2 linked regions of the Elephas maximus indicus genome follow. The protein of the gene in region 2 interacts with the protein of the main gene of each other region in a biochemical or structural test. Links are inferred from orthologs where the notes say so. Each region holds a gene or a part of one and is shown on either strand. Other genes may lie near its edges.

Region 1 (15,524 bases), on a different chromosome or scaffold from region 2:
TGGGATACTGGCTCCTACTGCTCTGGTGTAAGTATGTGAGCAATGTTGAGCAACAGGGATTACCTATCATGTACTATAAAAAAAAATACAGTGCAGTAATCATATCACTGTTATTAAAAACCTTTGAATTAGTATTTTACAGATGTGAGAACTGAAGCTCAGAGAGATTGGTTAACTTCTTTAACCTAACTTAGTTATTATGTGTCAGAGTCGTGATTCAGATTTCACATTTAAAATTCGTTCCCTAAAAACAAAACATTTAATTCTGGTTCGTGGAGACATCATGTGTTACAGAGTAGAACTGCTTCATAGAGTTTTCTTGGCTGTAATTTTTATAAAATGGATTGCCAGTCCTTTCTTTTGTGGCACCATTGAATGTGTTTGAAGCCAATTTTTAGGCTAGTAGATAAGGGCTAATTGTGCTACCCAGGTGTGGCCATACAATTTAACATCTAATTACAGCTACTTTTGAGTGAAAAGCACAGTCATAACAATTAAACTGGGACAATAGATGTAAACCTAGACATTGTAAAGCAAACTGGAATGTATGATCATTCTATCTCTTCCTCTACTTTTTGATATCCTTCTAATGATACAGTCACTCAATTTCAAAGCATTCTTCCATACTTATTTTCAACACCAATAATAATCTAAAGTTATCATTAAAGTGGCTAACTGCTTTTATAAAATTGTAATAAAGACAGGACAACATAAATATGCCTAAAAAGATTAATTTCTTAGAAAGACTGGAAAGGAAATACATTTTTAAAGAACTAATAATAAGCACAATTTCAGAAACTATTTTATACATATTTTTTGATATGTGTTTATACGGTTGCCAATTCAAAATTGAATTTATAAGGTACTAATTGAATTAAAAATTGAAGAGTGTGAAGAATGTATGAGTAAAATTCAAATCAAGAGGAGTCCCATACAATGCACAAAATAAATGAAGAAATAATGTTTGGCTATTTCCATGTAGATTCATTCAAAAATAACTCATTTTTGATAACACGATACAAAGAAAAGATGCCACATTTCCAGTCGCAGTCAATTCTGTGGAATAAAGAGAAAATATATATATATATTTTTATATATTATTAGTTATGGTAAATGATAAAACTGCTCTTTTCTTCCTATGTGTAAATTTAGTGGATTAACTCATAAGAGAAATTTAATTACAAATGTTTCCTGCTGTGCCCTTCTTTGGGAGCATATAAAAGTTTCTAGGAGACTAAATATCAGCTCACTTAGAACTGTTTTCATGAAATATCTAGTCTGTCATGATCATGAAAGAATTCATGTCTTAGGAATCCCAAAGCTAGCCTCTCTTCCATTTTTAGCCCTCACACCTGGACCAAATAATTTTATTTTGACTCATGAATCAAAAGAAAATATATAAATTTTAAATGTGATAAAAACAATTAAAATCTTATGAAGTCCAAGTTAGATATAAAAATGCAAGTTTATCTTTAAAAATACCTCAAATATATTTATATGAAAGTAGAAGAAAATTATTTTTGTTGTTCCTAAAAAAGGTGATAATCAAGTATAAGCTACTTGAAAGCAAACCAGTCAAATCTGTGGCAATAGCCATAAATGAAATTAAAAGCAATAATTGAAATTCAAAGGATATATAATCAGGTCAGTAAATAATAGTCAACTATTGTGAATAAACTGATAATTAACAAATAAATAAGTTAATATATTGATGGAGTTTATACTATCTTGGGCTTATCCAAGACAATGAAATGCCAAAAAATATTAAATATAGGAAAAATTAGTTTAATTCCCAAGCTCCCAAAACTTACCAGAAGTAAGAAGGGGGCATTAACTTTGTAATCTTCTTAGACCTTAAAAATAAGCAAAAATGTATATAAATATACAATTCACAGCTTGGCAAGAATACTTGCCCTAAGAATGCTTTGAGTAATGAAATAAACATCCTATGTATATATCAAGATTAAGGTATTGTGAAGGAAAATAAAGGCACATGGGGAATAGGTGTACACAAGAAAAACTCAAAACTGCAGAAAATAATAAATTGTCTTTATTCCAAACCCAATCAGATTATCAAATTTAATTCTGGCTTTAAAAAGCCCATATCTTCTTTACCTAATTCAGAAGTTCTCAACAAACCAGTTAAATAAGAATCCCTGAAAGCATCTCTTCCCAACACTCTGTTTCTTCTCCCAAAAAATCAGAACAATTATACCATAATCCCTGTGGATAGGCTTAGGCATTGGAATTCTCTCTGGTGGAGGAAAAATGTCCTTCAGGTGATTTTATTGCATATTTGTGTTGAGAATCACTGATCTAAAACTGTGTGTTTTTTGGGATACATTCATGTATGCATTTTTTTTTTTTTAATTCTAGAGTTCTCCTTTATGCTAACATCACACATACATCATGAGTGAAACAACTCAGTAAGTAGATTTGAACTTACAGCAACAGGGTTATAAACTGGAGCAAGTGGTTGAGCCACTGGGTAGATCTTACGGGTTGGGTCAAATAGAGGCTCTTCGTACAGTGGAAGGTTTTGGATGGGTCTACCTCTCTGGGGATAGGGTATCACCTGCTGGGGAACGGGCAGGACTTTGGGCAAGGATAGAGGAAGAGGAAGCACTGGAGTCTGAGCAAGAGGCTGGTGGAGCTGGTGTCTTAAGGGCTGGAGCAGAGGCAGAGGAAGGTGCAGATTTTCAAGATCGGTCCCAAGATTTGGGATCTGGGGGTCAAAAAAGGGCATTACTGGAGACTTAAGGAAGGACATCAATTTTTGCCTAGGAAAGGTGATTTCTTTAGCTTCAGGGAGTTGCATTACTTCAGGCTGAGGGAAAGGCAGCACCACAATAGGCTGAGCAAGAGGAATGGCGTTTGGTGGAAAGACAGTATAAGGAATGGGCTCAGCGAAAGGATAGACTAGAGGCTGTGGCTGGAAAAGGGGCTGGATTTTATTCTGATGTTCATCCTGGAAAGAAGGAAAAGGAATCTTTGAATCTATGATTTAGTTATTATTGTCATTCATGATGAATTAATCTCTTCTCCCTCTTGGAGAATCATAGTTGTCAAAACACACATAGTTGTCATTGAGTGAAAATAAAGATAGAACACCTTGCACTTATCTTGGTTAAGAAATCATTTTGAGTTATGGGAAGAATATTGAGTAAAATGCTCTTTGAGGATTTCTCATTAATCCACTCACTTCATAGGTGAACCCACAGTTCAAGCTGAAAACAATGCTTGGAGATTTCAAGACATTTTCCACCTTTTCCAGTTCCCTAGATAACTGTAGCTGTTCACTTTGGTCTTCTGAAGACATGGGCTTTTCAACATGTGTTCATAATAGACCCAATTGTTTTCACATAATAAAGAGGAATCTATTTTTAAAGGATTCGGAAGGATAATGCCAAGGTTTATTTTTGCTTTATTTTAATGAAAAGCCAGTCTTAATTTTTGGCAAAATTCAAGACATTATTTAACATTAACCAACTCTTCTCCTTGGTAGAAGGTAACTAGCTGGAATCTTTTAAGAAATACAATTTTGTAAATTCATTTTAACTTAATAAATATTTGGTGTGAGCACCAAACAATCCATCTTCCTAGATGAAGCAGGGGATCCTAAATACTACAATTAGGTAAATATGTTACTATAAATGTAAATTGATTAAATATAGAATTCTATGTTGTTCAGGAAAAGCCTTCATTTTTAAGTAAACTCTGCTACTTAATAACTTTCTGATATTGTTACACAATTAGGTACTCAGTTGCTCTGTACCTCTCTTCTCTCATCTTTGTAATGGAAATATTCTTAAAAATATCATATATTCATATATTCAATAAATGTTAGTATGAAACCATTTGAGTATTTATTATGTGCCAGCTCATCAACTCTATGGTATAAATATTGTTATTAATATTCTCAGTTTACAGATAAAGAAGGTAAGGCACAGAAAACTTGAGGCCAAAGTTACACAACTGAAAAGTGAGTAAGTTAGGATTCTGTGCCAGATTGCTTCCCTATTCCTTTTCATTACCATATCTACCTTGGGAATAAGATGAGCATAGTTTCTGACCTAGGAATATTCCTCCTACTATGCAGTTAGTCTTAGGGATTTAACTTGTACTCTGGGAATAGATTATGAGTTTAAAAACTGCATTTATGTCAGAGAAAATATAATGACTTTGTCAATGCCTGATTCTTACCCTGGTTGGTTGGTACACAGCACTTAATTTATTACCATTCTTTAGACTGAACATATAAGTTCTTCTAATGAATAAATATTTTCGTAGGTATCATACTTCCTAAAAACTTTAGAAATATACTCATCATGAGCAAATTACCTCTCTTTGCTGTTCCTCATGCTTAACTCCCTCAGGTTTTTGCTAAAAAACAAATGACAAAAAACTATCACCATATGTGAAAATTAAACATGGGAAATTTTTGGAAAATATGTACATTTAAATGTGAAGGTTTTACTTTGTTGACTTGTGTAACAGATTCCTTCAGAAAAATAAAAATAAGGTTGAGTTTTAATGATTTCTAGTCAAGTGAACAATTCTTATTTGTCAATATATCTCAGAAAACAAAGGCTTTTGATAGGTTAATATGGACACGTTATTAAATAATATCAGTCAAGATTTAGGATAATTGCTGAAACTAATAGGTTACACTGTTCTATATAAGCCTGTTTATGTATATACATACAGATAGATAAATGCAATCAAATCAGAAAAGAAAGCTAGTGAACATAGAATAAAAAGATGTATTTAATAGATGCTAATTTAATCCTTCTCTACCCTTATCCTTCCTATGACAAGAAGTGATCTCTAGTACCCTATCTGATTCTAAAAGTATAATATTCATTGAAAGTACATTCTAATAACCATTGATCTATCCTATTGATCATTCTAAGTTCACTTGTTATGTGCTAGGCTTAACAATATGTATGCCAACGAAGGATAAGAAGTAAACATTTCTCCTAAGGATCTCACAAACTTTTTGAAGAGAAAAAAATATATTTAATTAGCAGGTAAAGATAGACCCAAAAATAGTGGTGCAAGGGTAAATATTTACCTAATTCACCTGGCAGATTTACAACTACACTGTCTGTGTCTCGTTGCTTCTTACTTATTAAAGTGACAATTGTAATTACAAAATATGTCCATTTGCATGTTTGCCTAACCACTACATTACAATCTCTTTGCTATCGGAATTGACGTGCTTAACTTTTCAGTTTGTATCATCAACTCCTAGGCAATGTCATCTGTAGAAGGCTCTCAACAAATGGCTATCAAAACAATGAAGTCAGAGCAGAGAGAGCTCAGTTAAAAGTGAAGAGACAAAACAGATTGTACCATCGATAAAAAGAGAGCAAAGTGACTTACAAATTCAAGTAGGAAGCCAACCTAGAAACTACTATAATACTGAATTCTCCAGACAGTTAGTCTTCATAAACGTGTTATATTAGAAATTTACATTAGAATTTGTAAATCAGAACATAGTTAAATTAGCTTAACTACCATAATGTAACATAATAAAAAGATAAGCATAGCATGTTTTAAAATTGAGAAATCGCCTCTGAATAAAATTGTCTTATCTCACTGCTTGAAAGATTTTCTACAGTCTGTAAAGAAAAAAAAAAAAAAAAACTGGCTGACTCTTGTCATAGATCACCATAGAATGTTACTATTTTGTCCTTGGGAAACTTCCTCTGAATCTAAATATCTTACCTCAGTAGATACAATAATTTCTTCCTTCTGTAAAAGAAAAAACATTATTTTAGTTTCTATGGCTAACTCACTATTAATCATGATTCCTACTTTTCGTCACTTCCTTTATGAAGAATTATCTATTTCATAAATTTATTTCAGAATTATTATGCTACCTGTATACAGCACAAAACTTTAGATGAGTAATAGAAAATGAGTTATTTTAAACTGCATTAAACCATTTATTATGATTATCTGGGTATGGCCTGATACTCCATTCTCTGTGTGTCTTTGGACAGACACAGATAGGATTTGATCTAGTGCCCTATAGTTAAGAATACACATATTTTAGCATGGAATAACATATTTTTATGTAAGTTTCACAACCATGAAATTTTATTTGTGCAATAATACTCTTTTTTGTTGCCTTTATAATTCTTTCACCTCCTTGTTTTCTTTGTTGCTTATTAGTTTGTTTATTTTTCCTCCAGGGACTGGTAGACGAGGCATTACAAGCTTTCAGCACAGCTTTGTGGCCCTGTAGGCAGCTGAGTTGAGACACTGGGTGTATGTAAACCAGTTTCTTAGAAGTAAAAAAAAAGAAACCCATTGCTATCAAGTTGATTCCGACTCATAGTGACCCTGTAGGACTGCCCCACTGGGTTTCCAAGAATATAATCTTTACAGAAGCAGACTGCCACATCTTCCTCCCACGGAGTGGCTGGTGGGTTTGAACCTCCATCCTTTTGGTTAGTAGCTGATTGCTTAACCACTGTACCACGAGGGCTTCTTCCAGAAGTCAAAATATTCTGCCAAAATTCTGCATTATTTGAATACTTAAGAGTGTTGGTGATATTATTCTCTACACCTAGTCCGGTAGCCCATTATGTGTTAATTATCTAGAAACTTCTCTCCGTACTTACCTCTCTTCCAAGAGCAAAAGCCACCAGGCAGGCAAGGATGAAGACCTTCATGGTAATCAATTCCTATGAAAGGGAAGATGGAGAAACAGAAACATACTGGATCAATCCGATGTATTTTCTTATCTAGTTCTTATTTAGGTAGGTTTTATTTTTATTTATTTATTTTTTTGCCTTTAAAAAGTTAATACATGTCATAAAAATGTCTGCATTATAGAAAAAATATATATGGATAGAGGTTTTATTATGTGATCAAAGTCAAAATCTTACTGTGGCTCCCTGTTTTTACATATCATATTCAAATTTTATTGCCAGCCATTCAGATATTTTCAGCTCTCTAAAACCTTTCACCCACTCTTTTCACCTCATTCACTTATTAATTTATTTTAGATAGGTATAAAGATGTTATAGATATTTACAGAAAGACTTTTTAATTGATCATGTTTGAAAAATATTCATTTAGCACATTATATTGCCAGACAGTGTTCATATGCTGGGGAGACGGTGAATAAAAGCTGTAAGGTCTCAGATCTGATGGAGGCTTAGTTCTTTGGGGCGAAGACTAATTAAGGAAAATGTGTGTGAAGAAGATGATTTCTCCCAGGTCATATTTTATATTTATTTTTCCCTTATTAGATGAAAGGGTTTCAATGAATGTATAGTTTAATCACATCTCCTATCTCCAATAGACTGAGGTTTTAACTTAAGCATTTCCTATATTTATTCTTCTATTCAGATGCTTTCTTGGACTCATTGGTTTGTTCTCTATTAGTACCCACCAAGGAGTCTTTGGTGGCGCAGTGGTTAAGTGCTACGGCTGCTAAACAAAGGGTTGAGTATGAATCTGCCAGGCGCTCACTGGAAACTCTATGGGGCAGTTCTACTCCGTCCTATAGGGTTGCTATGAGCCAGAATCGACTCGAGGAAACTGGGTACTGGGTTTAAGGAGTTTTAACCCCCATGAACCTAATGATGTCTTTTTTCTTTTCTATCACATGATTCTAGAAAGCCTATGTTATGCCGCTTCTCTTCTCTCCGTAAAATGTGTCCAACAATCTCTAGATGATTTACCAAGAGGTCAGGTCCTCTTGGACTCCCTATCCTACCCTTTCCTCACTATCTCTTCTGGTGAAATGTATATAACACTTTTGACGCAAATGTACTTACTAACTGGGCTTTTTTGCTTGCTTTCGCTGCATTTTCTATATATATTTTTTTGTGTGAAAAAAATTATATTTTTGATATAATATCCCGAGGCACACAAACTTCATTCTCAGATTATTAAACTAAATTTGTAAACTAAACACATTTCAGATAAAAAAAGTCCCTAAATCATCTGTAAAATGTCCTTTCTAATATTTCAAGACTTAATTCTTCTATTAGAGAAAATAAACATTTTTCTAGATTTCTCTCACGGTGGCTATATAATTATTTATTTATTTTACTTTCTTTAAGATCTCCATGGAGCCCTGATGATGCCATCGTTAAGCATTTGGCTGATGATCAAAAAGGTCGGCAGTTTGAACCTACCAGCTGTTCCTTGGAAAACCTAGGGGCACTCTAGTCGTTCCTATATGGTCGCTGTGAGTTGGAATCAACTCCACAGCAATGGGTTTAGTTTTTTTTGGCTTAAGATCTCCATAAACTTCTGAATAAATTTGTATTGTCAGGATTCAAATATAGAATGTGATAGTCTGTTAGAAATTATTCCATATAAGGAGAATCCTATTGCATTCCTTAAATTTATATACAAGCTTTTCAGCCAGAACTTCATTTTTGACTGATATCAACACTAAAAGCTGCTCTTTTTTTTCCAAATCATACCTTTTCTTTGTTATTTGGTACCAAGTCATCTCTGTGCAATGTTAAATTTTTTTACAACATCAAGTACATTATTTCTTTTTATTTTAATTCTCTATTTTCACATCTCTATCCTAATATTATTTTGAAATATTATAAACTAGGTAATAAACTAGAAAGTTGGATGTTGTAGACAAATTTTTCATAAAATGAAATTATTTTAAAACATGTCAAGCCATATTGAGTCTTTTACTCAATATACTACTTCTGTAAACTCCAATGAAAGCATTCTCGGTATAATTTTAATATATTTGTTTTATGACTGTGATGTTTTAAATCAAATCAGAAGACTTAACTCAAGAAATTGATTTCCTCTTAATATAGCCTATTAACTAGCCTTGTACTAAATGTATATATATACATATATACCTAAAACAATATATATATATATTTAAAATTAATACATTTTCTTGAACTCATTAAGTCTATATGGTCATAATTCTTACCATATCCTACCAGGTGCTCCTATTTTTCTTTTTTTTAATCTAAGTTTTGAAAATAGTCTGAACTATCTTAAACATTCTTATTCCAAAGAGAATATTTTAACCACACGATCCAGCAATCCCACTACTAGGAATATATCCTAGGGAAATAAGAGCTATCTCATGAATAGACACAAGCACAACCATGTTCATTGCAGCATTATTCACAATAGCAGAAAAGATGGAAACAAACTTACTGCCCATAAATGGGCAAATGAATAAACAAATTATGGTACAGACATACAGCAGAATACCACACAGTAATAAAGAACAATAATGAATCCTGTAAACATCTCACAACATGGATGACTCTGGAGGGCATTATGCTAAGTGAAATAAGTCAATCACAAAAGGATTGTATGAGACCACTATTTAAACACCCAAGAAAAGGTTTAGACAGGAAAAAAAAAAAAACCAGTTTTGATGGTTATGAGAAAGAGGAGGGGTACGGAGGTCAAACCACTAACTAGATAGTTGTTCTTGTTGTTAGGTGCTGTTGAGTCAGTTCCAACTCATAGCGACCGTATGCACAACAGAATGAAACACTGCCCGGTCCTGCGCCATCCTTACAATCCTTGTTATGGTTGAGCTCATTGTTGCAGCCACTGTGTCAATCCACCTCATTGCGGGTCTTCCTCTTTTCCACTGACCCTGTACTCTGCCAAGCATGATGTCCTTCTCCAAGGACTTATCCCTCCTGACAACATGTCCAAAGTATGTAAGATGCAGTCTCGCCACCCTTGCTTCTAAGGAGCTTTCTGGTCGCACTTCTTCCAAGACAAATTTGTTCATTCTTTTGGTAATCCATGGTATATTCAATATTTTTCGCCAACACCACAGTCCAAAGGAGTCAACTCTTCTTCAGTCTTCTTTATTCATTGTCCAGCTTTCACATGCATATGATGTGATTGAAAATACCATGGCTTGGGTCAGGCACACCTTACTCTTCAGGGTGACATCTTTGCTCTTCAACACTTTGAAGAGGTCCTTTGCAGATTTACCCAATGCAATGCGTCTTTTGATTTCTTGACTGCTGCTTCCATGGCTGTTGATTGTGGATCCAAGTAAAATGAAATCCTTAATAACTTCAATCTTTTCTCCATCTATCATGATGTTGCTCATTGGTCCAGTTGTGAGGATTTTTGTTTTCTTTATGTGGAGGTGTAATCCATACCGAAGGCTGTGCTCTTTGATCTTCATTAGTAAGTACTTCAAGTCCTCTTTACTTTCAGCAAGCTAGGTTGTGTCATCTGCCTAACACATGTTGTTAATGAGTCTCCCTCCAATCCTGATGCCCTGTTCTTCTTCACATAGTCCAGCTTCTTGGATTATTTGTTCAGCATACAGATTAAATAGGTATGGTAGAAGAATACAACCCTGACGCACACCTTTCCTGACTTTAAACCAATCGGTATCCCCTGTTCTGTCTGAACAACTGCCTCTTGATCTATGTAAAGGTTCCTCATGAGCACAATTAAGTGTTCGGGAATTCCTATTCTTCACAGTGTTATCCATAGTTTGTTATGATCCACACAGTTGAATGTCTTTGCATAGTCAATAAAACACAGGTAAACATCCTTCTGGTATTCTCTGCTTTTAGCCAGGATCCATCTGACATCAGCAATGATATCCCTGGTTCCACGTCCTCTTTCTAGAACCAGCCTGAATTTCTGGCAGTTCCCTGTCCATATACAGCTGCAGCCGTTTTTGAATGATCTTCAGCAAAATTTTGCTTGCGTGTGAGAATAGGCATAAATATGGATCTCTTCCAGTCAGTTGGCCAGGAAGCTGTCTTCCATATTTCTTGGCATAGATGAGTGAGCATCTCCAGCACTGCATCTGTTTGTTGAAACATCTCAATTGACATTCCATCAATTCCTGGAGGCTTGTTCTGAAAAGCATTAGCCAGTGAAAACCTTATGAATAGCAGCAGAACACTGTCTGATGTAGTGCTGGAAGATGACCCCCTCAGGTTGGAAGGCACTAAAAAGATGACTGGGGAAGAGTTGCCTCCTCAAAGTAGAGTCGACCTTAAAGACATGGATGGGGGAAAGCTTTCGGGACCTTCAGTTGCTGATGTGGCATGACTCAAAATGAGAAGAAACAGCTGCAAACATCCATTAATAATTGGAACCTGGAATGTACGAAGTATGAATCTAGGAAAATGAAAATTGTCAAAAATGAAATGGAACGCATAAACATTGATATCCTAGGCATTAGTGAGCTGAAATGGATTGGTATTGGCCATTTTGAATCGGACAATCATATAGTCTACTCTGCTGGGAATGACAACTTGAAGAGGAATGGTGTTGCATTCATTGTCAAAAACAACGTTTCAAGATCTATCCTGAAGTACAATGCTGTCAGTGATAGGATAATATCCATACACCTACAAGGAAGACCAGTTAATATGACTATTATTCAAATTTATGCACCGACCACTAGGGCCAAAGATGAAGAAGTAGAAGATTTTTATCAGCTGCTACAGTCTGAAATTGATTGAACATACAATCAAGATGCATTGGTAATTACTGGTGATTGGAATGCGAAAGTTGGAAACAAAGAAGAAGGGTCAGTAGTTGGAAACTATGGCCTTGGTGATAGAAACAATGCCAGAGACTGAATGATAGAATTTTGCAAGACCAATGACTTCTTCATTACAAATACCTTCTTTCACCAACATAAATGGTGACTATACACATGGACCTCGCCAGACGGAACACGCAGAAATCAAATTGACTACATCTGTGGAAACAGACGATGGAAAATCTCAATATCATCAGTCAGAACAAGGCCAGGGGCTGACTGTGGAACAGACCATCAATTGCTCATAAGCAAGTTCAAGCTGAAACTGAAGAAAATCAGAGTAAGTCCGTGAGAGCCAAAATATGACCTTAAGTATATTCCACCTGAATTTAGAGACCATTTCAAGAATAGATTTGACACATTGAACACTAGTGACCAAAGACCAGATGAATTGTGGAATGACATCAGGGACATCATCCATGAAGAAAGCAAGAGGTCACTGAAAAGACAGGAAAGAAAGAAAAGATCAAGCTGGATGTCAGAGGAGACTCTGAAACTTGCTCTCGAACATCAAGCAGCTAAAAGCAAAACGAAGAATTGATGAAGTAAAAGAACTGAACAGAAGATTTCAAAGGGCCTCTAGAGAAGACAAAGTAAAGTATTATAATGACATGTGCAAAGAGCTGGAGATGGAAAACCAAAAGGGAAGAACACGCTCGGCGTTTCTCAAGCTGAAAGAACTGAAGAAAAAATTCCAGCCTCGAGTTGCAATAGTGAAGGATTCCATGGGGAAAATATTAAACGATGCAGGAAGCATCCAAAGAAGATGGAAGAAATACACAGAGTCATTATACCAAAAAGAATTAGTCGATATTCAACCATTTCAAGAGGTGGCATATGATCAGAAACTGATGGTACTGAAGGAAGAAGTCCAAGCTGCTCTGAAGGCATTGGCGAAAAACAAGGCTCCAGGAATTGATGGAATATCAATTGGGATGTTTCAACAAAACTAGATGGTAGAGTAGTGTTAATTTTAGTGAAAGGAAAGACAACACACAATATAGGGGAAGTTAGCATAACCAGACCAAAGCAAAAACATGGAAGTTTGCTGTACACATCCAAACACCTTGAGGGACTGAGTTACTGTGGCTAAGGGGTGGGGACTATAGTCTTGGTGGAGGGGGGGATCTCTGTCAATTAACATAACATAGGTCATAAAAAAAAAAAAAGTTCTACATCCTATTTTGATGAGTAGCATCTGGGATCTTAAAATTTTTTACAATTTTTTTACAGTTTGCCAGTGGTCATCTAAGATATATCTATTTGTCCTGTCTGTCAGAAGGAAAGGTTAATGAAGAATATCAAAGACACAAGGAAAATATTAGTCTAAAAGATTAATGGACCACATGAACCTCACCCTCCGTTGGCTGAGCATAGAAGAACTAGATGGTGCCTGGCTACCACAACCAACTGCTCTGACAGGGATCACAATAGAGAGTCCTAGACAGAGCAGGAGAAAATGTAGAACAAAATTTAAATTCACACACACACAAAAAGACCAGACTTACTGGTCTGAAGAGACTGGAGGAACCCCTGAGAATATGTTCCCCACCTCCCAACACCCTGTTAACTCAGAACTGAAGCCACTCCTGAAGTCCACCTTTCAGCCAAAGATTAGACAGGCCTATAAAACAAACAATAACACATGTGAGGAGCATGGTTTTAGGCCAAGTATACAAGGCCAAATGGGCAACACCTGCCCAAAAGCAAAGAAAGAAGGCAGATAGGGACAGGAAAACTGGATGAACGGACGTGGAGAACCCAGAGTGGAAAGGGAAAGAGGGAGAATGCTGACACAATGCGGGGATTGCAATCAATGTCACGAAACTTGCAATAAATTTTTGAATAAGAAACTAATTTGTGCTGTAAACTTTCACCTAAAGCACAATTAAAAAAAGAAAAAATATATTTTAAACAATTATGATCTTTCTATATCTCAACTTACCTTGAAATCAGTGGTTAAAAGGGAATATATTAAACTTATATATGAAATTCTTACCTTTTTCCAAGATGGAGGACAAGAAGTAAAGGTGGAGCTGAGTAGCTGATGTTCTGTCTGCTTTTGTGGCTGTTTATACACTTCATTCAATGACATGCTAATTTTGTGGTTTGTAATAAAATCAATAGGGAGATTCTATTCCAAGAAGTATACATCGCTAGAAAACGATTTCTCCCAGTTATCTGTCCTCAGAAATCTGGGGAGCATTTCAACAAGGCAGCAATTCACAATCCGATAAAGGAAACTTGTCTAGGAAATGCAATTGTCCAAAAACTAAATACAGTAACTAGTGGGCAGTGGCACTCTGGCCCAATCATCAAGCCATTGTGCACACAATTCAGTCTTTTTAATACCATAAGATCCTCGATGAGGAGAAATTCTCTGAAATCACCAGAGACATTCCGGGACTTCACAAAAACCACATTTCATCCTAACCTGAGCAGCCACTAGTGTTTTATCCTACAATGGAGAAACGGAGAAAATAGGCAAGTTCTTGGTGATAGCTGAGTCATGTAAGGCAAATTGCTTAGCTCCCAGAATTATTTGATCTGGGGAAGTAAATTATTCAATTCAAATCAAGATTTTGTATATGAGGGGAATAAACCCTCTTTTGTAATGGAACGACTCAGAGAAGGATTCTTGATGATTGTATAGGCAAAATCCTGGGTATATCTATTAAAAAAGTTGTTCAAAATGCCATAGAGACTTATTTGACAAATACTGATTATCTTTTTGCATTTAAGATACAGCGATAATAATAATAATAAAAAAGAATATACTCTTTATTTAGTGCTATTTACTGCTAACCGCACGACAGGCACTAAGGGCTTTACAGACATTATCTTGTATAATCCTCACAAAAACAAAAAGGTCATGAGGCAGCTCTCATCTCCATATTTTGATTGAGCAAACAGATACTAAAATATTAAGCAACTTGCTCAAAATCATTTTGTTAATGACAGAGATAACATTTAAACCCTAACGTGTCTAATCACAAATGATTCTATTTGATCACATGCAGTGCCCAGAGCCTGTGGTTAAACTTACTGAAATGTCGTCAAAATATTTAGCTGTCAATTTACTATTTTGGTTTAAAAATGCAGAAATGATGACCAGTTGGATGAATAGGAAATTGGCTGCTAACTATAGGGAGGGAGAGATGTTCACTAAGGCGATGTTATTTTAGCTGGGCATTGAATAAGTGAAATTTTAAGAGTTGAAGAAATAGGAATAAAACATTCAAGCTAAGAAAATACAGGAACATAAAGAGCAAGACAGAGCTTTATGGGTTTCAGATTTTAGGCTGCATGGAGGTATAGAGTATACATTATTATTGCAAAGGTCAGACACTGATACTTTTGAGTTTCAGATATGGGGTCTGACATAATTCACTGAGAAAAGGGGAAGATATTAGAGATGTGAAAGAAGGAAGGTATATAAAATTACTTGAATTCTATGACTATATAACAACTCCAGTAATTCAGTAAAGGATGTAGGATTTTGATGTTATTACATTAGAATAAACCAGACATGATGATGACCTCAACTAGGGAGATAGGACTGGGTATCTTAGGCAATGGAAAGATAAACTTGTCATTAGAATACACACATTGTGTGAAATCAGAGGAAAGAGTGAATATAATATTTCCTGGGTGGTTGAAAAGTCTGCCATGAAACAAGGCTGAAATTAGAAGGGGGGTACTGAGTTAAATATTATACATGGGAAGTTTGAGGATGTACAGAAATCTGTTGTAAGTTAAATGTGATCAAAGGAGGAGCTGTAAGTACAATTGTAAAGGTGATTTTTTTTTTTTTTTTTAAGAAAAATGAGTAAGTGAACCTCCTTGGGGAAAGAGTGGCAAGTGAGAAGAGAAATTGTCCAAGAATAGAATTCAAATGCCCCTGTCATTCAGGAGATTGTAGCACAAAGGGAAATAGGAAAGACTACAGAGTACCAAGCAGAAGAAT
Region 2 (15,448 bases):
CCCCTGACTAAGCACAGCCCTGACCTTCGAAGACAGAGAGGAACATTCCAGGGAGTGGCCACAGACCTGATACCTCCCCTCCCTGCCTCCACTAATCTCATGCAATGCCCATGTCTATTTAATCCTCTCCACGCTGATGTTTCCATTCACTGCTGTTGGGCACGTCTCTCTCCTCTGTAGGTCCTTGTGCGTCTAAAGGGTGGATCCCACCCTGGAGAGGGCCGGGTGGAAGTCTTGAAGGCTGGCACGTGGGGCACAGTCTGTGACCGCAAGTGGGATCTCCTGGCAGCCAGCGTGGTGTGTCGGGAGCTGGGCTTCGGGAGCGCTCAAGAGGCTCTGAGTGGTGCCCGCATGGGGCAGGGTGAGGGGCATGGAGGTGGAAGGGAGAGGGAAGGAGGAGGTATATACTCCTGGGGGGAGTACCTTCCTTGGGAAGAAGGTTAGGATACCCCTGGGCAGACAGTGAAGGTGCAGTTACAGCCTCCTGATCTTTGACATCTGGCCCTAGGCATGGGTGCCATCCACTTGAGTGAAGTGCGATGCTCTGGACAGGAACCTTCCATCTGGAATTGCCCCCACAAGAACATCACAGCTGAGGACTGCTCCCATAGCCGGGATGCTGGGGTCCGATGCAACCTGCCGTACACTGGGGTGGAGACCAAGGTCAGTCATACTGTCCCCCTTGGTTCAGGTCTCCACCAGTCATCCCAGCCAGCCCTGGGCTCCAACCTGCAGTCTGATGTGCCCAGCCCACTATGCCAGGGGCCTGCCATCCTGCAGCTCCCGCCTGGTTCCACCACCACTATCTAGCTCTTTATGTGCCTCCAAACCACAGACTTCCACCCCGGTCCAAAAGCTTCCCCCAACACCTCCATTATGCGTCATCACAGATCCGACTCAGTGGGGGCCGCAGTCGATATGAGGGGCGAGTTGAGGTGCAAATTGGAGGACCTGGGGCCCTTCGCTGGGGTCTCATCTGTGGGGATGACTGGGGGACACTGGAAGCCATGGTGGCCTGTAGACAACTCGGCCTGGGCTACGCCAGCCATGGCCTGCAGGTGAGTGGGAAGGGGAGAGGGAGCCAAGGCCATTACCTCCAAAGCCTTTGCCTGGGGCAGATGAGTGTGGATGTGATCCCTTGGCCTAGGAGGCTGGTTTCTGGGGCCTCAAGGAGCCATCTACCTATGTCCCCAGGAGACCTGGTACTGGGACTCGGGGAATATAACAGAGCTGGTGATGAGTGGAGTGCGCTGCACAGGGACCGAGCTGTCCCTAGACCAATGTGCTCATCACAGCCCCCACATCACCTGCAAGAGGACAGGGACCCGCTTTACCGCTGGAGTCATCTGTTCTGAGAGTGAGTGTAGGGTAGGGTGCTGCAAGCCCGTGTGTCTGGGCCACCCCTTTGTGGGGAAAGAGGGGGCTGAAATCTGGAGGGGTACACCTTCCCCATGGAAAATCAGCCTCATACACCTAGGGGTGGGCAGAAGCACCCCCATTTGTCCCTGCTCCTCAGCAGTGATTTCTAATACACTCCTTCGTTCTCTGGGGCAGCTGCGTCCGATCTGCTGCTGCACTCGGCACTGGTACAGGAGACGGCCTACATCGAGGACCGGCCCCTTCACATGTTGTACTGTGCTGCCGAGGAGAACTGCCTGGCCAGCTCGGCCCGCTCAGCCAACTGGCCTTATGGCCACCGGCGTCTGCTCCGATTCTCCTCCCAGATCCACAACCTGGGACGCGCTGACTTCAGGCCTAAGGCTGGCCGCCACTCCTGGGTGTGGCACGAGTGTCATGGGTGAGAGGGTAGGGGATCAAGTAGAAAGGCAAGAGCAAACGAGAGACTGAAAGGGCTGACTCAATAGGGGGATAGCAAGTGGGAGAAGGGAGTAAGATGTATGTAAACCTACATGTGACAGACTGATTGGAATGGTAAATGTTCACTTGAAGCTTAATAAAAATTAATTAAAAAAAAGAAGAAAGGCAAGAGCACAGGGAGTGGGCAGGCCTGCTGCAGGTAGGGAAGGAAACAGTTCTCTTGCCCCTTGTCCCCACAGGCACTACCACAGTATGGACATCTTCACTCACTACGATATTCTGACCCCCAATGGCACCAAGGTGGCTGAGGGCCACAAAGCTAGTTTCTGTCTAGAAGATACTGAGTGTTATGAGGGTGAGTTGGGGCCTAGAATGGACTAGTGTCTCCATCCCACAGCCTTTCCTCACACTGACATATACCAACCCCTTCAGATGTCGCCAAGAGGTATGAGTGCGCCAACTTTGGAGAGCAGGGCATCACTGTGGGTTGCTGGGATCTCTACCGGCATGACATCGACTGTCAGTGGATCGACATCACAGATGTGAAGCCAGGAAACTACATTCTACAGGTGCTTGGGGTCTGTCTGAGATGTCCAGATGACAAGTGGGAGGAACGTTAGGGGCACCTTAGGATTTGAAGACTACAACTGGGTGAAATGGCCCTTCTCGCACTCACAGGTGGTCATCAACCCAAATTTTGAAGTAGCTGAGAGTGACTTCACCAACAACGCAATGAAATGTAACTGCAAATACGACGGACATCGCATCTGGGTGCACAACTGCCACATCGGTATTTGATGGATGAGCAGTGAGGGGGAGGCCTTCGTTCTCTTTTCCTGACTAAGTTGTCTGTCTTCCCACCCACCTCTGGATCTCTCAGCCTCTCCATTTTGATCCACCCTGCCCCACAATGGGTCTCTTTTCCTGCCTCTGCCCAGAGTGCCTCCCACACCACCTGTTTACTCTGCAGGTGATGCCTTCAGTGAAGAAGCCAACAAGAGATTTGAGCGCTACCCTGGCCAGACCAACAACCAGATCATCTAAGGTGCCACCACCCTCTGCAAACCACCACTGGCCCCTAATGGCAGGGGTCCGAGGCTGCCATTACCTCAGGAGCTTACCAAGGGATCCCTGATGTCAGCAGGCTCACTGCACTCCCCCAGCTGTGCCCTAGGGATGTGGAACTGCCAAGCAGAAGTCACCACCCTCCCTGCTAGGCCAGCTGTCAGCATCTGTGGCCCAGCACCAAGCCGAGCCCATCACAACGCAGCGCCTAACTAACTGCCCATAACAACAGATGGCAGTGGCTACTTATTTTGAATGGGGAGGTCAAGACGGTCAGCTCCAGTATCTCCCCTCAGTTCAGAGGGGGATACAGCCTTACCTCTAGCCTTTTGGTGGGGGAAAAACCCAGCTCCCTCCCCTTGTTTTGACTATAACAGGTTGCTAGGTATAATTTTATTTTATATAAAAAGTGTTTTTGTGAGTCTTCAGAACCCAGGAATTGGTGCTGGTGGTTGGAGGGACCTGCCCCCACTGGTTCATTTAATCCTCTGCCTATGTGCCCTCGGAGCTGAGGCCAGGAAGGCAGGAGGAAGTCAGCAGGAGCCTCAGACTCTTGCTGATCCATTCATTCTGTAACTTCAGGGGTCACATATAAGGTCAGTGTTTCTGGTCCCCGCCGGATCCGCACTGCCAGCTGGGATTGGGTTCGCACAGCTTCATAGACATCTTCAGCATTTTGTACCAGCTGCTCCCCGATGGCCAAGATCACATCACCCGGCCGTAGGCCAGCCCTAGGGAGAAAGACGGTCAGAAAGAGAAAGGAGGGAGTGTACAGCCCAGCCTTCATGCCTACCCACGTGCCCACCCCCCACACCTCACCCCACTCCCCCCACAGGGCAGTCTCGCCCTCACCGGTGAGCAGGGGAGCCCAGGATGACTTTATGGATGAGCACACCATGCTGAACATCTGGAAAGTTTGGTTCTCGAAGCTGCAGTTCAGCAAGGATGCTGAAAGGACACAAATTACCCTGTTAGCCACATCCACGTACTCTCCCCATCTTGGGTTCACCTTAGTTTCTCATCAACACACTGACAACCCTATGGACAGACCATGTGCTAGGTACTATAGACACAAAGACAATTCACTTTCTGCCTTTTAGCATTTAGGTAGTGAGAGGTGTACGTAAAAGATAGCTAATTCCAAATGACACACGATGTTAAATCAATGGCATAAATAATTCTAGAGTCCTAAGAGAAGCTTTGGGAGAGAATGGGACTTAACATCAGATGGGTCTGTCATTGAACTATAGAAACAAGAACAGCATAAATAAAAACAGTAGGCAATCAGGGTGACTGCAACAGTATTCACATAGGAAGTAATAGAAGCAAACTCTGAGAGGTTCAACTGGAGACAGATGGAAAATGGCCTTCAAACTCCAGGTGAATGGAATGAAGACTTTAAAGTAAAGCAGCAACAGGATAAAAATCAATCTGGTTGCAGGTGTGCAAAATGAAGTGGGGTGAAAATGTCAAGGTGGTGAGAGGGGACAGCTCCTCTAATAGCTCCACATGTGAGGCAGGAATGAGGCTAAAGACAGGAATGAGATCAAAGCCCAAAAGAGATGCCAGCTGCCCACCCTCAACCCTCATACCTGGGAGTCAGAGTCAGCATCATCACCCCAATGTAGCGGCGCTGGGACCCACTGACTCCAAACAAGGAATCTGTGATAGAGGGACAAATGAACCCCACCCAGCTACATCCTTCCTCCCGCCTCCCACTCCTCCTAACAGACCCCTCTCCCAGCAAGTCCCAATGAATGCCCCTCCCCTGTACCCCACCGACCACTTAAAGGAACTCCCTTCTCCCTTAAATCAGGCTCACTCTTCTTTTCCCCACGACGCAGAAACTCTCGAAGGCGATCAGAAGGGATGGCAAAGGAGATTCCAGCCGTGACTTTCATGGTGTTCACCCCGATCACCTCCCCATCCTGCAGGGACACAGGCCCCTGTTCCCTAGCCCAAACAAATAGTAGGGGATGGGGGGTACCTGAACAAGAGTATCACGGAGTGTTAGGGAGATCTGGCTGGATATTGGGGGATAGCCAACAAGAGACTGCTCAGAAACTTGACCAAACATTCTTCGGTTAGGGAAAATCCCCCCTTCCCACACTGACCTGGGGCAGGGATTCTTAGAAGGATGTCCCACTCACCAGGTTAACCAGAGGACCTCCAGAGTTTCCAAACTGTAGGATAAGGAGAAAACATGGAAGAGATCCCGGGGCTCCAAGCCTAGAGGCATAACTGGGATGTAAACATTCTCCAAATTCTTTCTTCTCCCAGCCCCTGAATGAGTGGCTACCTGTTTGGAGCCCAACCACTACCTATCACAGCTGGTGTCCACACCAGCTCCCTCCCACCTCCAACCTAGTTTGTCATTTCTCTCAGGCCAGGACGCACATCAATAGCTGCATCAGTCTGGATGTATTCCACATTGGTTTGGGGCAATCCCAGGTCTCTGGCTGGGCGCTGAGCAGAGCTGACAATGCCGGATGTGATGGTGTTCTGCAGCGCAAAGGGACTTCCCATGGCAACAACAAACTCCCCTTGCCGAACATCGGCTGAGCGTCCCAGCGGCAGCGTGGGGAGAGGCTCCTAAGGGAGAATGGGTGCAAGAGACCTGTCAACTGGAGATGGAGGCAAATTCACAGCTCCAATCAGACCTGGCCTACCCTGACCCCCACCTCGGTCTGAATCCTAAGGGTAGCAATGTCTGCCACGGGATCCACAGCTGTGACCATGGCCTCATAGGTGTCGCCACTGGGCAGCCTCACGCGGACATGGCGCCGATCTGCCACCACATGGGCATTGGTAACGATGAGCCCATCGGCAGCCACCACGAATCCTGAGCCATTTGAGATAGGGACCTCGCGGCTTGAGAAAGGGTGCCTGGGAGGAAGGAACAGCTCGGATGTGAGGAGGCTCTGACCCTCCTGTCGCCCACCCTCCGGCCCGCGGCTTCGGTGCCTTCCGCTCTGCCCCCACCGTTACCGGCCCAGGATCTCGATATAGACTACGGCAGGTGCCGTTTTCTCCACCACGTCTGCGATGAAGTTGTACTGGCTCCGGGGAGAGGTGGGCGGCGGGTCAGAGACCGCGGCGAGGACCGCCGGAGGACCCCGACCCCCGCCCCACAACAACAGCACAGCCCCCCCGGCGCCCAGCGCCACCGCCAGCCACACACGCGGACGGGTCCCAGGGGTCCCTGAGGCCTCCCGGGTTTGGGGATCCGGGATCTCCGCGGTCAGCCGTGCCCGGGAATCCGGGGTCCCCGACGTCAGACATGCCGGGGGTTCAGGGACCCCTGCAGATAACCGGGCCCGGAGATTCGAGGTCCCATACGTCACCCGGGCCCGGGGGTCAGGAGTTCCTGACGTCAGCAAGGCACGGAGGTCAGGGGTCAACAGGGATCCTTTTCCACAGCGAATTCCCCCCAAAGCCCGCAATCCTCGGAGGCTCCAGCCTGCACCCCGCCCCGCCCTCAGCGCAGCCATCAGCTCCGCCTCGGCTGCCTCCTCGCCCGCCCTACTCAGAGGCGGTGCCCTGGACGAAGCAGACGGGACGCGAGGTACGCCGGTACCTGAAGTCCTCTAGAAATGCACGCCGGGACCCAGGATTCCGAGAGGCGACTCCGCCCCCGGCGCCGCGAATGCTGGGAATTGTGGTCCCCCCGGGACGTGAGCTCTGAGGCGGCCCAAGGGGCCGCGGGGCATGCTGGGACCACTAGCCCTTCCGGGCGCCTCTGCGGGATTTCGGGCTCCGACACCCTGGGCGGATGCCCAAGGACTGCCTTCCCAGGAGCCCCTGCGGCGGGGCGCGAAGATGGCGGCGACCGTGGCCGGGCACCGCTAAAGCAGCAGCGATGGAACCTCCTCCAGCACCGGGGCCGGAGCGGCTCTTTGACTCGCACCGGTAAGAGCCTCGGCGGGAAGAAGCCGACTTTCGCGTCCCCTCGGCTTTGGCGCCCGATTATTCTGTTTCTCGCCCACAGGCTCCCGAGTGACGGCTTCCTGCTCCTCGCGCTGCTGCTCTACGCGCCCGTCGGGTTCTGCCTCCTAGTCCTGCGCCTGTTTCTCGGGCTCCACGTCTTCCTGGTCAGCTGCGCGCTGCCAGACAGCATCCTTCGCAGGTTCCGACCCGGCGCTCGAGGAGGGTCAGGGCTGGGCCCGGCCCGAGGCCGTGCAGTCACCGGCGTCTATGTCTCCAGGTTCGTGGTGCGGACCATGTGTGCGGTGCTGGGGCTCGTGGCCCGGCAGGACGACTCCAGACTCCGAGATCACCGCGTCAGAGTCCTCATTTCCAACCACGTGACACCTTTCGACCACAACATAGTCAATTTACTTACCAACTGTAGCACGGTGAGTGGGCGCGAAACCAAAGAGCATCCCGGGGGCGGTTCCCTTGGGCCCAGCTCTAAGGCTTCCCTCTGCCCGCCCCTCCGCCCGCCTATTCGGGTTTCCCTTGGGGACCACAAGGTACTGACCCTTACCCTTAGCCCCACTTATCTGTCTCACATGTCAGTTTTTCTCGTTTCCCTCCATTATTCTTGCTTTCTCTTTCCAGCCTCTGCTCAACAGTTCTCCTAGCTTTGTGTGCTGGTCTCGGGGCTTCATGGAGATGGAAGGACGCGGGGAGTTGGTGGAGTCACTCAAGAGATTCTGTGCTTCCAGGAGGCTTCCCCCAACCCCTCTGCTGCTGTTCCCTGAGGAGGAAGCCACCAATGGCCGAGAGGGTCTCCTGCACTTCAGGTGGGTAAGCACAGGTATTGGGCTCCAACTGGGAAGGTGGTCAGCCCTGGGGACCCTTGGGTTTTCACCTTACTGGTCAGCCCTCGCTGCCCTGAACCCCTCTATACTCCATCTGCTTAGTTGTACAGTTTGACAGTTTCCTATTTTAAGTCCGGTAGGAGCTGCTAACTGGGCTGGGTTCCTATTCTCTCCTTCTTCTAGTTCCTGGCCATTTTCTATCCAGGATGTCATACAGCCTCTTACCTTGCGAGTTCGGAGACCCCTGGTCTCTGTGGTGAGTATGTGTTGGACAAGGAATTTCTAGGGTTTGGAGGGGAAGTTTCTCACCCCTGGCGCTGGCTCAGGACTCACGTCATGCCCTCCCCTCAGACGGTGTCAGATGCCTCCTGGGTCTCAGAACTGCTGTGGTCACTTTTCGTCCCTTTCACGGTGTACCAAGTAAGGTATTAACTATCTTCACTTTTTGGTGGCTGGGGAGAAGCTTACCTCAAGGTCAAGGAGATAGATACCTCCGCCTTGTCTGCTTGCAGATTTTTTAACGTTAAGGTTGCACCACAGAGGCAACACAAAGTATTTATTATCGTCCCACCCTCACCACCACTTTACATAAGAAGAGGTACCAAGAGTGGGGAGGGGATGGCAGCCTTTACCCCAGCTGCCCCCAACATGGCCCTGGATTATTCTTTGCAGGTGGCTCCAGCCTGTTCATCGCCAGCTTGGGGAGGGGAATGAGGAATTTGCTCTCCGGGTACAACAGGTGATGGGGTACACAAGCAGGGTGGAATTGGGGTCTTTCCCAGAAGATGATGGAAAAAGTCTTGAGGCCTCAGTTCTTGACACTTCCAACCTTCCAATTTGCCTTAGTTAATGGCCAAGGAATTGGGCCAGAGAGGTACACGGCTCACTCCAGCAGACAAAGCAGAGCACATGAAGCGACAAAGACACCCCAGATTACGTCCCTCATCAGGTGTGTGGTCCTTGTACACAGGCTTTTCATTTTTCATCCTACTGTGATTTTCTTCCTATCCTTGTGCTAGTCAGTTTCTCCTTTCTCCTGGTTCTGTACTTACCATGTTTTTAATTTCTTTTTTGGCAGCCCAGTCTTCTTTTTCTTCCTCTCCTGGCCTTTCTCCTGATGTGCAGTTGGCAACTCTGGCTCAGAGAGTCAAGGAGGTTTTGCCCCATGTGCCACTGGGTGTCATCCAAAGAGACTTGGGTATGGGAAAGGGTGGCTTCAGACAAGGAGACAAGAGGGTTGTGAGGGGAGAAGGTGAGCAGTAACAGACTACCCTTTCTTCTTTTCTCTTCTTCCCCAGCCAGGACCGGCTGTGTAGACTTGACCATCACTAATCTCCTTGAGGGGGCTGTAGCCTTCATGCCTGAAGACATCACTGAAGGGACTCAGTCCCTTCCCCCTGCCTCTTCCCCCAAGGTGAGACCCAGAAAATAAGGGTCAGGCCCAAGACTTGGGGTGGGAACGGGTGTCCTCATACTCCTTCGCCCTGGTCTCTCTTTTTTGATTCTGAGACGCTAGCACAGTGCCTTTCTTACAAAGTAGGCACTCGATGCGTGTTTAATGATGATGACTTCGCAAGCCTTCTGACATTGTGATCACCTCAGTTCCCCAGCTCTGGCCCGGTGACCCCTCAGCCCACAGCCCTAACATTTGCCAAGTCCTCCTGGGCCCGGCAGGAGAGCCTGCAGGAGCGCAAGCAGGCACTTTACGAATACGCGAGAAGGTGAGGAGGATAGAGGACAAGGTAGGAAAGGGCAGGCTAGAGAAAGGAATCACGGAGCTCAGGTGAAAAGCCCACACGATGTCTTCTTCCTATGTTCACAGGAGATTCACAGAGAGACAGGCCCAGGAGGCTGACTGAGCTCAGAGGAGCAGGATGGCACCCAGAGCCGCAGGACGGGGACTGGGGGCAGCCCTCACCCAATTCACAACAGGCTGGATGGGTGGGTGGTATAAAGGGAGGGATGGGGCTCCTCCAGTGTCACATTAAATTCAGGGTTTTCATTCAAGGTCTCTGTTGCCTCTTTGGGTCTCAAAAGCCCTGAGCAGGTCCCTTCCCTTGGTTGTGGGGGTGGGAGTGAGGGCCTCCTTGTGAATTTATGGAGAATGATCAGAATGGAAGTGTCTGAAATCACCTCATGGCCAAGAGTAACTCAACTGAAACCCACCAGCAACCGGATCCCAGCTCGGGTGTTGACCCCAGGTTTGCGAAGAAAGAGCTACAAAACTGCAATTCCCAAGATGCCTTCCACTACCAGATGACCCGTCATGCATATGGTTCACACATGCTCAGTGTGGTGGCTGAAACCTTTTTCAATAGGCTCGTAAGTTAAATAAGGTGGAGCAAATGGCACCACCTCAAGATCAGGCTTAAGGATTTGTGTTTGAGACGAGTCCCAGGGTGGAGCCAGAATTTACCTTTGTACTTTATGCAGTCAGGGTTGGTGGCAATTAGCTGGGTGACTTCTGGAACTGGCTGCCATCCTGACACGTCTCAGAGCTACAAGCAGGTTCGAATCAAGGATCCTTTTGGCCCTGCTACCCAGATTCCTGCTACCCCTGAGGACCCCTGCATTAGTCACAAGATTTTTACTACCTGGCTACAGGGTAATAGTCTACTTTTTATAGTCCCTTTGTCGGATACTCAAACGCCCAGCACTGTTTCCTGGCAGGCAAGCAGTTCTGGGAAGGATAGACCCCAGGGCATCTGTATCTGAGGGTAGAGGTTAGGGATCAGGGCTGAAGCGGGAAGACTCAGTTACCAAATATGGGGCCTAACTGGCCACCCTGCCTTCTATAGGTCCTGCCCAACATCCACCATGACTTCACAGCCCCTCGGGCTGGCAGAAGAGTCTGGCCAAAACCCTGGGGAGTCTGAACTGGCTGTGAACCCCTTTGATGGGCTCCCCTTCTCTTCCCGCTACTACGAGCTGCTTAAGCAGCGCCGAGCCTTGCCTATCTGGGCTGCTCGCTTTATCTTCTTGGAGCAGTTGGAGAGTAGCCCCAGTGGAGTGGTGCTGGTGTCTGGGGACCCTGGCTCTGGCAAGAGCACCCAGGTGCGGGGAGATTCTGGGAGTGGACAAAGGGAGGGGCTGGGGAACTGTCACTTCCTTTGGCAAGGGGTACTGGGCTGTTTGAGGTCGTGGGGGAGATGGGCAAAGGGATACGGGCTGGGTTGGCTCCAGTGTGGCTAGTGAAGGACCAGGGGACTCCCAAATAGGAGATTAAATTGTCCGTAGCTCCCCCAGCACATCTGACTGAAGTCCTTCATCTCCCTGACTGGGTGTCCCTCCTACCCCAGATCCCTCAGTGGTGTGCAGAGTTTGCGCTGGCCAGGGGTTTCCAGAAGGGCCAGGTAACTGTCACTCAGCCTTACCCTCTGGCAGCACTGAGCCTGGCTGTGCGGGTGGCTGACGAGATGGACCTGACGCTGGGTCACGAGGTTGGATACAGCATCCCCCAGGAGGACTGCACTGGGCCCGACACCCTGCTCAGGTGGGGCCTCCTGCAGGCCTGGTCCAAATCAAATTTTCCTCATTCTGCATAAACAAGCTCCACTTATCTCACCATGCCCTCCCTCAGCCCAATTCACCCTTGAAGTTAGGCATGATGCAACTGCTGAATAAAGCCCTTTTAACCCCACCCAGGGACCTCAGACATTTACGAAAGTATTGCTTTCCCAGTTGGGCTATAGCCTGTGAACAAAGTGTCCTCAGTGGGGTTGTGGGGTCACAGTTATGAGTCTACAGACTCAGGAAGTCAGTCACAGGGTCTCTTTCTGAACTTCAGTATCAAAATCTAGGTCCCCTGGGGGAGAAGCTCCACTGGACTTCTGGGGCTGGCCAGTGTCCACACTGACTCCTCTGCTCCCTGCTACCAATGTCAACAGGTTCTGCTGGGACAGGCTGCTCCTGCAGGAGGTGGCCTCAACCCGGGGCACTGGAGCCTGGGGCGTGCTGGTGGTGGATGAGGCTCAGGAGCGGTCAGTGGCCTCGGATTCACTCCAGGGGTTGCTGCGAGATGCCAAGCTGGGAAACCTCCCAGGGGACTCCAGAGTGGTGGTCATTACTGACCCAGCCCTTGAACCCAAGCTCCAAGCCTTCTGGGGCAATCCCCCTACTGTGCATGTTCCCAGAGAGCCTTGCGGGACTCCCACCCTCCTCTACAGGGACAGTGTCCCTGCTGACCGGGTGGAAGCTGCCTGCCAGGCTGTGCTTGAGCTGTGCCAAGAGGAGGCTCCAGGTGATGTGCTAGTGTACCTGCCCAGTGAGGAGGTAAAAAAAAAAAAAAAAAGCACTGCAAAAGGGGATATTCATGTAGGCTGTTTTCTGACCTGGGGGAAAGGGGGCAACAGTGGAACTGTAGTATTTGCTCTCTGTTGGGGTCCTGAGGAAAAACTCAAGGATCTCAGGATGAAGAGGTCTATCTCTCTCTTTCTGAATCCCTCTAATGAAGAGATTTGTGATTCGGTGAACCCCTGCAATTATGACACTTCCAATTTTATGAGTGTGTACATTTTTCAGGGTGAAAAGAAGGGCCATCACTTTCATCAGTTTTTTAAAAGAGTCTGTAACCCAAAAAGATAAGAACTGCCCTAATACCCTACACTTCTCCTCAGGAAATTTCCCTGTGCTGTGAATCCCTGTCCAGGGACACAGGGTCCCTGGACCCCCAACGGCCTCCTCCACGGTTGCTGCCCCTTCATCCAGCCTATGGTCAAGCCATTCAGGCTGTATATGAGGACACAGATGTAGGTGCCCGAAAGGTCGTGGTCACTCACTGGCTGGCTGACTTCTCCTTCTCCCTCCCTTCCATCCGACATGTCATTGACTCAGGACTGGAACTTCGAAGTGTGAGTGAGGGAGACACGGGGGGATGGGGAGGTAAGGATAGAAATGGCCCACTCTGATCTGTCTTGGCCTTGGTTTGGGGGTTGGACGACAGGTTTACAATCCTCAGATCCGAGAGGAATCCCAAGTGTTGAGGCCTATCAGCAAGTGTCAGGCCAAGGCAAGACGGCTGCGGGCAAGAGGGTTCCCACCAGGTGAGAGCTTTACCCTCGCTGCAAGCAAACCAGAGAAGAGGCACCAACAAACAAGCCCTGAGAAATCCACAGCAGTATTCTTTCTCAGGTCTTTCTCCCCTCAGGATCCTGCATCTGCCTGTATCCTGAGTCCTTTCTAGAACTAGAGGCTCCCCCAATGCCCCAACCCAGGGTGTGTGAGGAGAATCTGAGCCCCCTGGTATTACTACTAAAAAGGAGACAGATTGCAGATCCGGGAGAGTGTCACTTCCTGGACCGGCCAGGTGAGCACGCCTCCTGCCCAGGTCCTGCCACCTGAGTACCAGGCTCTGAGGCCTCAGGTCCTGCAACCCCTGCTTCCTCACCAGCTCCTGAAGCACTGATGCAGGCACTGGAAGACTTAGACTATCTGGCTGCCCTGAATGATGATGGGGACCTGTCAGACCTGGGAGTCATCCTATCCGAGTTCCCCCTGCCCCCTGAGCTGGCCAAAGCCCTGCTGGCCTCCTGCGAGTTTGACTGTGTGGATGAGATGCTCACCCTTGCAGCCATGCTCACTGGTACAAGCCCCCTCTCTGGCTCTAAGCCTTCCTGTTGGTATTTTGCTCCTCCTCATGTTAGCCCTTTCCTTTGTGCTCTAGTTCCCACCCGTCACAGCACCACCTGAAGAACCAGGCTTAATCTCTTACTCCCCTCTGTCCCTTTAGCTTTTTCTCTCTGCTGGTTCTTTCCCCTCAAAACACTTACATCTCTCCCAGCTGTTGTTAACACTCACACACCCCTCTTCCTCAACCCTATACTCCTTTTTAACTACAGCTTCATCTCTATCCTTTTCTATCTAATGTGTTCCTCGCCCACTGCTTTCCACCGTCAGGACCCACTGCCCACTGAAACTGCTTTAAGTGCACCAGTGACTTCCTAGATGCCTAATCCAACAGACGCTTTTGAGCCCTTATTTGTAAACTTCTTTCAACATTTGGGAGTGCTGACCAAGTCCCATCTTGACACTGTCCCTTCCCTGAGCCTCTGTGATACTACTCTTTGTGATTTTCATCCTACCTCTCTGGTCATTCCCTTAATCTCTTCCTTGGGTTGTTGGGCCTCTGCCCATCCACTGTAAATTGGTCCTCAGCGTTCTGTCCTTGCCCTTTTTGTCTTCTCATTCCCTGAACTATCTGAGCATGTTCATCAACATCCATGGTGTGGACTGCCACCTTTATACTTAAAACTTCCAAACCTTGCATCTCTCTGACAACACCATTCTGGATCTTAGATTTATATATATCTGACTCCTGATTTCTACCAGAAGAGTTCACAGTACCTCAAATAAGTATGCACTCTCTTAAATTACCCCCTCACCACCGCCACCACAAAATCTTTTCCTTCCTCTGTCTCTTCAAGTTTCAGATAACACCATCTCTGCAGCTCCACTACCATCTTTCTAGATTAATCTTTTTTCAGGGTCCTTTTTTTAATTTAATTCATCTGCTGCTCTTCACACTCACTGCCAGTACCAAGGTTAGATCCTTATCACTGCTCAGCTGAATTCCTTAAGTAGCTTCCTAGCTTTTTGAAACACATGGGACTTCCTTATTTAAGAACTCTATTTCAACAGCTGTTCTTTACCTTCAAGACAGAATGTAAACTCCTCTGTACAGCACATTCGGCCTTTCATGACCTGTCCTGTACCTACCTCTCCAGCTTTATCTCCTGCCACTCTGCCACACAGGCCATTCCCTCCATCCATACTAAGCAGCTTGCAGTTCCGCAAATATGCCGTGATATTCATTCTGTGCCATGCTGTTCCTGTAGTCTAGAATATTCTCTCTGCCCCACCCCTTTACCACTGAGCTAATTCATACTCAGACTTCAAATATGGGCCCAAGGGTCCTTTTCTTTTTCCCCCACATCACTCTCCTCCCCACCCAAAGCCTGGATTAGGTACCCACCCCTCCTCTTTGTTTCAAGAGTGCCATAAACACACACCTATCATGCTTATCAAGTTTGCTTACTTGTTGGTCTCTTCCACCAGTCCCTAAACTGACTCTGAGGTCAGAGATGGTCTTTATTTATCCTCAATGTCTAATAAAGTACATGGCTCTTAGTAGTTATCAATGTGTTTCGAATAAAGTTCCCAAAGAGATACTACTTCTACCTCTTCAGAGCTTCACCTTCTCCAAATACTATACTGCTATCCTTTCTGATACCCCTAAATGACCTTCCTCTCTTCTGCTTCCAGCTGCCCCTGGGTTTACCCGTCCCCCACTCTGTGCAGAAGAAGCTGCTCTGCGTCGTGCCCTGGAGCACACAGATGGTGACCACAGCTCTCTGATCCAGGTGTTTGAAGCCTTCATACAGAGTGAGTGGCTCATTCTGCATCCTCTTAGGGAATTCAGATTCCCCAAAGCGGGGAAGTGGTATGCAACTAGCTGACAGATCTCTGTGTCGAGGAGGAGGCCCTGTGGCCAAGGGTTGGGTTGGGTTCTTTTGGGGGTCTCAGGGTCTTTTATTGTAGTTGGTTCCTTTCTTCTACCAGGTGGGGAAGATGAGGCTTGGTGCCAGGCTCGGGGTCTTAACTGGGCAGCACTGATCCAAGCCCGTAAACTTCGGGGAGAGCTCCTGGAACTCATGCAGCGAATTGAACTTCCCTTGTCCCAGCCAGCCTTTGGCTCTGAGCAGAACCGAAGAGACCTTCAGAAAGCACTGGTGTCAGGATACTTCCTCAAGGTTAGGGGAAAGGGTTGGCACGAGGGTGTAAAAGGGGTAGAGGCTGAGGGAGCA

The links.
Region 1: of the proteins of HTRA2 (region 2) and CSN2, one has a biochemical effect on the other in vitro, tested with the Homo sapiens proteins (2 studies listed by BioGRID). The link is inferred for Elephas maximus indicus from reciprocal best matches to the Homo sapiens genes HTRA2 and CSN2.

Annotation. Positions count from the first base shown.
Region 1 is NC_064823.1:88,170,672-88,186,195, reverse strand, and holds CSN2 (beta-casein), read right to left. Parts: upstream 6,684-15,524; coding exon 6,633-6,683; intron 5,625-6,632; coding exon 5,577-5,624; intron 4,384-5,576; coding exon 4,342-4,383; intron 2,969-4,341; coding exon 2,447-2,968; intron 1,854-2,446; coding exon 1,848-1,853; 3' UTR 1,825-1,847; downstream 1-1,824. UniProt on the Homo sapiens protein: Important role in determination of the surface properties of the casein micelles.
Region 2 is NC_064835.1:61,302,827-61,318,274, forward strand, and holds HTRA2 (serine protease HTRA2, mitochondrial), read right to left. Parts: upstream 6,438-15,448; 5' UTR 6,375-6,437; coding exon 5,872-6,374; intron 5,770-5,871; coding exon 5,565-5,769; intron 5,476-5,564; coding exon 5,281-5,475; intron 5,067-5,280; coding exon 5,034-5,066; intron 4,830-5,033; coding exon 4,706-4,829; intron 4,546-4,705; coding exon 4,476-4,545; intron 3,832-4,475; coding exon 3,736-3,831; intron 3,615-3,735; coding exon 3,449-3,614; downstream 1-3,448. Other genes in the region: LOXL3 (lysyl oxidase homolog 3), read left to right, coding at 181-361, 509-663, 891-1,058, 1,195-1,357, 1,555-1,798, 2,058-2,173, 2,251-2,387, 2,497-2,608 and 1 more; lipid droplet-regulating VLDL assembly factor AUP1, read left to right, coding at 6,656-6,792, 6,872-7,009, 7,088-7,238, 7,444-7,628, 7,830-7,902, 7,998-8,071, 8,319-8,385, 8,493-8,595 and 4 more; ATP-dependent RNA helicase DQX1, read left to right, coding at 10,464-10,700, 10,946-11,139, 11,534-11,918, 12,263-12,496, 12,589-12,688, 12,793-12,951, 13,036-13,227, 14,907-15,026 and 1 more.